Linked DNA regions of Solanum lycopersicum. The protein of the gene in region 1 interacts with the protein of each later gene in a pairwise test. Links are inferred from orthologs where the notes say so. Each region holds a gene or a part of one and is shown on either strand. Other genes may lie near its edges.

Region 1 (3,823 bases):
GTGTAATCCATCAGTGGAGGTGGGATCTAGGGAGGGGTGTACGTGGGGTGTATGCAAACTTTACCCCTACCTCGTGGAGATAAGATAATTTGTTTCTAATTGAACTCGGCTCAAGTATAGCATTTCAAAGTTGTTTGAAAAAGGACACAAGGAAATGAAGGAGAACATAACAACTAATTAGAGAAGAATGCTGTGCAACTCTATTTCCAAATTTGGTTATGCTAAGCTAGCAGAACAAGGATACAATTTCTCAGATGTGGAGCCCTCAGGGATGGAATTTCTTGTTTAGAAGAGCCCTCAATGACTGATAGTACAGGAGGATTTTCTTTAAAAAAACAAACTGGGGAACTGCAATTTTAGGAAGTAGTAGACATGAGGTTTCAGCAGTAAATAGAGATGCGGGAAGGATGGTGCAATTTCTTCAAAAAATTTAATGAAATCGGAAAAGATGGAATATTACCAGCCAACACAGAATGTTTCTCTTCTTCTGTCAATATCATGTATGTGCAGCATATAAAAGATGCTTCTACTTTTTTTTACAAGAGCAAGAACTCTAAAAGAAGGGTATGGAGTTTCTCCAAAGAATGTTCTCCTGTGGAAGTATACAGATTTTCGAGGGTCAAGCTCCCCGTCCCAATTCATATATGTAGTTAATAAGGTCTTATTGACACTAAAGGGGTTCGACCCATTACAGCTCAACAAGATAATCCTGCATCCTTAGAGTCTATTAGAACCATTGAAAAACTAAAAGTGTAAGAAACCATCAAGCGTTATACAGAACCAGCAAGCATAAAATATGAAGTTATACACATAAAAGCTGAAGCTGCACATTGTAGTGATGCCTAAATGAAGTAGAAAAACTATGCAACAATGTGAAAGCTCAAATAAACTGTCTTTCAAGAATTTATGCTACTGTTATGATGTGAAAAGGCTGATGATCAAGACATAAAGCAAGCACTTAGCAATGGAAGTTTAAGCTGAAACATTCATGTGAACACATTCATACCTTCCTCTCAAGAGCAGAAACTTTTTGATGGTACTCTTCTCGCAGAGATTCAATTGCTGCATCACTGGACTTCCTCTGTAAAAATTAGTGTGTAAGCAAGAGATATAATATTGGTGGAGTTTCACTTAGAAGGGAATTATGAGGGATGAAAGATGAACCTAACGTACACATAAGAGGAACGCTGTGGGGATGGGGAATTAGAAAAAAGTTTTAAAAAGTGCATTGGAACTCACCAATTTAAATAAAATTAACAAAAGAGTTAACTAAAGTTTCGATCCATTATCCATTACAAAACACACATCCATTGGCACGTGCTACGCTGATCCCACCCAGCAGCAATAAAGATCCAATTACACATATGATATTAATACTAAAGGAAGATAAAATGAACAACAGAATAATTGCTTGCAGGGATAACTTTTTTTTTTTATGACAAGGGAAACTCACAGCCACTATCCTTTAGGTGCGCACAGGGTAAACCCCCACCCCCACCCCCCACCCCCACCCACATGCAATAGCTCGCAAACAACATAGGAGAGGTAACCCGCACTAGCCAAGCCCGGTGCGACGAGCTCAACCCTGAAGGCAAACCCCTTGCTTTCGCTGGCAAGAGGTTTCGCACTTGAGACCTCCAACATAAAAATTCCAAGCCCAAACCACTGGGCCACCCCGAAACATTCTGTACTTAAATTGATACAGGAAACTAGCAGTTCTGAGAGAATAGAAGAGCATACGAAGCACAAGTCATCTAACAAACAGGACAGAAGCTAGAATTTGTATAAGAGAAAATGCAACGTGTATTGATGTGAAAGCAGTTAAATCAAAATCATCAATGATGAGAGTCATATGAAATTATGCAACAGAAGCGATTCTTCCTGATCTACACGCATCTAGTCAAGAGAAGTCTGATTATTGATGATGTTCATTAAAAAGTGCTTAACAAATTAGGTGGTAGTTAAGATGACTCGACCAGTCAGCACAGAAGCTTACACAATATCTGGCTCACATGCAAGATTAACTTATCTAGAAGAAAATTGCAAGCAAGGGCAGAAGAGAAAGAAATGTTCTGCAATAACAAGCAGAAAAACAACACTAGAAATCTAATTTATGAGATGGTAAATTCATCCTGAAACAATGGGAACTATAGTATGTCTTTGACTCATGCCATTTCAAAAACTAGCGGACAGCAACAAATTGAATTAACAGCCTCGAAAGGAACTTCAAAATGATGAGAACTTACTCTCAGATCCTCAGTAACAGCCTTCAATTGCTCGTTCTCATTCATCAACTTCGCTATTTCATCAGCTTTAGCCTGAGGAAAAACAATGACATGTCATCTTGTTGAGTGTTCATCATTTTATAAACAAGAACTGAAAATAAGGGGTCTAACACACCAACTGAATTTTTTTTCAAGTTTGTGGCATGACAGGAAGATATTGAGAAGTTCATACATAATGGAAGAAATTAGTTCCAATCACCCAAAATCCTTAAATATATTTATTGTCTTTGGAATAATCTTGCTGCATAATAATAAAGGGATAATTGCAATTAAACGTATGAAGCTGCTACACGGTCCAAGCTTCCCTCTAAGTTTGAGGCATAACAGGAAGATATTGCGAAGTTCATACATGATGGGAGAATTAGTTCCAATCACCCAGAATCCTTAAATATATTTATTGGCTTTGGAATAATGCTGCATAATAATAAAGGGATAATTGCAATTAAACGTATGAAGCTGCTACACGGTCCAATCATCTTTAGGCGTATACCAACATCCTTGCCAACGGATTCCACAACTTCAGAAAGGATCCACGGACTATGGAAAAGATATCCATGTGTTCAGACATTTGAGACCTCAAGAACGTAAACTATGTCATTTGAGAAGTACAAGACAATATCAATGGGATGTGTCAATGACACACACACTTCAAATCAGAACTTCTTTAATTGAAGCTACTTTTAGTCAAAATCAACTCATTGAAGCAACTTTTATCCATGACCACACAAGTTGGGAGAAATTATTGAGGATGAGTGGGATTCAGATTTCAGCTAATCTTAGGTAATACAACGTGAATTATTGGACTCGCCTACTATAGGTGCATACAACAAAAGATTCATATTCTCAAGTAACGTCAGTAGATTCAGAAATGTTCCACTGATGCTGAGGAGCAGAAGGTGCATAAATTTCCATTAAAGTAGCATATGGACATACCTGAGCTTGTCTAGCAGCTCCTTGTAATGCAGTTTCCATCATTTTCATTTCCTTTTTCAGCTTCTCCAGTTCAACCACTGAATTGGTAACATCTGAAGAGTTGCTTCCGGAGCTCAACCGTTCTTTCACACCAGTCTCCTGATCATTTCCTCGCTGGGTAGCCTCCACAGGTATACTAACCAACTCATTTTCAGGCATAACTGTATCAGATAGCTTCTTCAGACCTTCATCAGTGTGCTGGTCACCAAGAAAGCTCCTGTTAGAATGCTCTTCAAGACTTTCACCTTCGCTGGCAGTTACAGAATCTGAAACAGAAGGTCTTCCACTATCTGCTCGGTCACTTGATGCATCCCGTGATTCAGCTGAAGGAGATTCCATGGTGACTTCTTTCTTCTGTTCCCTGTCTGTAGGGTAATTTGATGCATCCTCTAATTGAACAGGAGGAGATTCCTCAGTGACTTCTTTCTTCTGTTCCCCATCATTACCAGTATTTTCCTTTGAATCAACAAGCAGCGGGATACCAACTTCAGTTTGAGATAAAGCATTTGATGATTGGGAAACAACCAACTCGAGGTTTTCAGATGATTCTCGCTCTGGAATATTCT
Region 2 (4,548 bases), on another chromosome or scaffold:
ATTTTTTTCTTCATTGGCATCTTTCAACGTTTAAGCCTCGCTTTATTTGCACTTTTTCATGATTTGCTTTTGAAGACATTGTTCTAATATTGGTTGTGTTTTTAGCCCCTTCAGGAGCAAATGTTCTGGTATTTAGCAGAAAAGTTGCTAAAACATCAAAAAAGAAAGTCTCACTCACCCTCACGCCCTCCAAAAAGGAAAAGGAAAACGAGAATGAACAAGTTACTGCTACCTTTTCTCAACAAGATCGGTTTTGTTACCAACAAGGACAATAATAACGTCACTGCCCCTCTCAGTTCGGACCTCCTCAATCCACTTTGAAGTGTTTAAAAAGGACTGCCTGCCTGGAACCATCAAGGAAAAAACAGTGTGTAACTTCAGCAAGGGATATCTCGTCAAAGTAATTCATTTCCAAGCAAATATAGCCAGAAGCAAGGATAAGCGGGAAATCGAGTATGAACCGAAAAAAAACTGCACAAAATTGAAATGTGACATACTTGCAACATCATACACAATGACAGCAACAGAGGAGTCCCTAATATAGCTGGGAATGAGACTCCTAAATCTCTCTTGACCTGCAGTATCCCTGAAAGTGTATCACGAAAAGGCAAATTTTATAGTGCATGAAAATGCGAAATGAATACTAAATCCAGCATCAAATGACCAAACAAGAAGCCAGGCAACAGTTAAAATGTTTTCCCAATAAGTGAAAACAAAAGAAAATCTTAATACTATGAACTGGTTTGAGGAGAATACTTTTGTCAGGCCAGGGCATTTTCATAATATGGCTAAAAGTTTGATAGCTACTATAAATCCAATTGGGAGGCATAAGGGAGAAACAGAACCTATCATTAAAAGGCTAGATAAGAAAAAAAAACTATCCCCTTATTTTTCCTACGGAATACTGAAGCAAGAGCAATTATATCTGAAGCCTCCACTAAGAAATCTATTTTAGCAAGATACTTAAACTGACCAATTTCCATCCTGATATATGTTAACACCCATAATCAAGGATAGCTGCATCACTTTTTCATTTTCATGAAAGAGAGTAACACAACACATCACATTGAACTGTTAATTGTGCTACCTCAAATAGATTGATGTAGTTACGCCTTAACAACATGGCACAAATGTAAGATGTTAAAAATGTGAAAACAGTCTTTATGATCAGAGCACAATGAGACATTGTCTCATCAACAAGTATATCTTACCATAACTGCAATCTTACTGTACGATCTTCCAGGTACATAGTCTTCGATAGGAAGTCAATACCAATTGTGGCCTGAAGAAGAAATTAAATAAAATGAGGATGCTTGATAAAATATCGTCTATTTGAATAAATAAAAAAGTAAACCGGCTAAAATTTGAATAAGAAGAGAGAGTTGTTAGTTGAAATGGAAATACTTTACTAGAAGAGGGGAAGCAAGAACTAGAAAGTCTAGATTACATGCAGTTTCACAATCAAAAAGACATAAAAGAACCCTATCCCATCAAGGCATGGGAACTGAGGATTGATGAAATGATTGTCTAAAAGTCAGCAAATCACGAAAAAAGATAAAGCAGGTCATTTGTTAACTGCAAAGGTTAAGAGTGTAATAGGGTTCCAGAAACATTCGAAATAAGAAGAATGTTACTGTCAGACCAAACAAAACACTCCGTCATAGTACAAGAAGGAAAGACACAGTTCAACCACAAAAAAAAAGAGGAGAAAAGAAGTTGAGAATCTATAAGAAAAGATCTGGATCAATGTAGGCACAACTTAAAGCATTAAGTTCAGATATATAGTTTGTCGAGAAAAGAGAAGAAAAATATAGTTGGAAGGCTTAAGGATTCGTGAGACTGTCCCAATGGAGAGCTAGAGTTTCAAGCATGATTTGATGTAAATCATTCACATACATAACACTCCACAAGTTCCTGTGGATTCTCGTCAATAATGCGCAAGGAAGCGGACAAGAAGCTTTTTGGGTTATTTAGACAGTGAGGAAATAAGCTACAACGTATGCTCATTTCTCTATCCCTCTTCTGAATTGTATAATAAAAGCGTGTCATTACTTCACATTAGATGTGTTAACACTTCAGTTAACAAGGCAACCAACTTCCGGAGTGCAATCTACCCAATCAAAATTCCGCAAACAGAAGACTGACCTATAATGACTTCAAATCTGTATTACACTGTAAGCAAATCATATGAGCAACAATACATTGCTGCAAACACCTTCCCTCGGTAAGAGCAAATTATACATACAAAGTGTCAATAACTGTGCTTTACAGATAAAGATCTTGAAAAATAAGTATTAAGTCTTTATGTAGCAAAATTAAATATGCTTACAACAAGAAGACGACAAATGTTAATTGAGAAACAGATCCGCAGAAACAAAAGGTTATTGAATCACATGAATAATGAATTAGCAAAAGTGTATACCTGATAGGTGTTATCGAATTTATCATACATGAATCGCGTGATAATACTGGTCTTGCCGACAGATTGATCTCCTAAGAAAACGAGCTTGTACTTTGCGAGAGCCGAAACCGGAGCCATCTAATTGGATCTTTCGGTACGAGAAACTGAATCCAGTAACAAAAAAAAAAGATGGCGGATCCGATCAGGATTTTCCGACGGAGTACCAGGGATCTCGCCGGAAAATGATCACGGAGAGAGCAAAGGGGAGTGTGGATTCGTGGGCTTTAGCGAGAAACAGAGAGGGGGAGAGTGTGTGTATTGGGAGGGTGCGGTGCGCGTGAGTAGTGTTTTTGAATAGGTTTGGCGAAACACGGAGTCTGTATTCAGTAACATGGTTGCATTGTGGTGATTTGCTGGCTCTCATAAATTTTTTTAAGAATTCCTTTTCGGTGTATTCATGTTCCTCTTTTACACATTTTGTACTTTTTTTTTCGTTTTCTTTTTTTTTAAAAAAAAAAACATATTTACCCTATAGTTCTTTTTTTTATTACTCAATTTTTGGCATATTTTTATTTTTCACAATAACTTTTATATCCTCACTCTTATTATTTTTAATTAAATGATATCAATATTTCCCTTTAAATTATAATTTTTTCTATACTATTCAACTTTATTTTTATTAAATATATTTACGTAGATATTACATAAGATCCAATATTAATCTCTATTGATTTTTTTCTTACCGTTGGAATTTGTTGAATCAGCTTGCTAGCCTACATATATGATCATTCCTCATTGTCATATGAAACGATCTTCTCCTTTTACTGATATTGTTTGAACTTTGAAATTTTTTGATACAGTAAATTCAGCTTCAATTTTCATGGTCACCCTAAATACTTTTATCTTTCCTTTCTTACCCTTTATAATGGAATAATTTTTATAAAAAAAGATTGCATTTCAAAACTATTTTGGTGAGCATATGATATAATATAAAAAGTTTGGCTTATTTATTTATTTTTCAAAATACGAGTGTGCTTTTTTAAAGATTATCCCGATGTTATTAACTCTTTTCTGTCATAAATATTTATCTAATAAGATTGGACCGAAAGAAAAATAGAAGTGTTAAAAAGAAGAACACATATTATCAACAATAAAGGAACAATTCAAAGAGTATAATTATTCAAAATATTACAATGAATTTTATTTGAGTAATCTTGAAATATGTATTTCGATTAATTACAAATATATTTTTACCTTTCACAAAAATAGAAATACCATTTATGTATAAAAACATAATTTTGAAGATTGAAACAAAAAAAAGATTCACAAAGAGAGAAGTTGAAATCAATAATCCTCCTAAAATGTAAATTGGTAAAATAATAACTGTTCTATGCAATTGATGTAACATATTTTCTTGTTAATTTATTTTTAAAACAATTAATTTCATATAACTAGAAGGAAAAAAAGATAAATATAACTCGAACTATCGTAAATGGTATGCAGATATTCTCTGTCATATTTTTTGGGACATTGGTGCATCTACTGTCCAAAAACTAGAGCATATATGTCATTCACTCTAACGGAAGATTAAACACAAGCGTGTGTCACAACTCTTATTCGTCGATAAATGTCACGACCCAATTTCTCGAGCCATGAAGGCACCTACTATAACCATCAATAGGTAAGCCAAACCACAACCCAGAACCACACATACTGGGTGTGAGGGTAGAAACTAAACAAGACTAAGAAAATTTACTATAACAACATAAGCAAACCAAAACATAAATACAATAAAGGATCCCTCCCAGAACCTGAAAGTCACTAATACAGAGGTACCAACAAAACGAGTACAAGTCCCAACAGTGGACCACCGAAACTAGACTGTCTCAAAAAGTAAAGACAAGTCTTTATATAAACAGATGGAGATTGAAATAGTACAAAACGCTGTGTGCTCACCCCTGTCTCCAGACCAGAAATTCTCCAAACTCGATCAACGCTGACTACCAGTGCTTGGACCTGCATCACGAAAATAGATGCAGAGCGTAGCATGAGTACCAAATAACAGGTACCCAGTAGGCATCATAGGCCGACTGAACTAGAAAAGTAAAGCACTATAAAAAGACAGAATCACAAAACTAGAGGTCAAG

The links.
Region 2: the proteins of golgin candidate 5 (region 1) and ras-related protein RABH1b interact in a two-hybrid assay, tested with the Arabidopsis thaliana proteins (2 studies listed by BioGRID, with this or other methods). The link is inferred for Solanum lycopersicum from reciprocal best matches to the Arabidopsis thaliana genes GC5 and RAB6A.

The regions. Positions count from the first base shown.
Region 1 is NC_090805.1:44,310,962-44,314,784, forward strand, and holds part of golgin candidate 5, read right to left. Parts: coding exon 3,219-3,823; intron 2,319-3,218; coding exon 2,247-2,318; intron 1,082-2,246; coding exon 1,007-1,081; intron 1-1,006. UniProt on the Arabidopsis thaliana protein: Golgi matrix protein playing a role in tethering of vesicles to Golgi membranes and in maintaining the overall structure of the Golgi apparatus.
Region 2 is NC_090800.1:79,113,345-79,117,892, forward strand, and holds the start of ras-related protein RABH1b, read right to left. Parts: upstream 2,893-4,548; 5' UTR 2,540-2,892; coding exon 2,423-2,539; intron 1,283-2,422; coding exon 1,212-1,282; intron 587-1,211; coding exon 498-586; intron 345-497; coding exon 233-344; intron 1-232. UniProt on the Arabidopsis thaliana protein: Protein transport. Regulator of membrane traffic from the Golgi apparatus towards the endoplasmic reticulum (ER). Binds GTP and GDP and possesses intrinsic GTPase activity.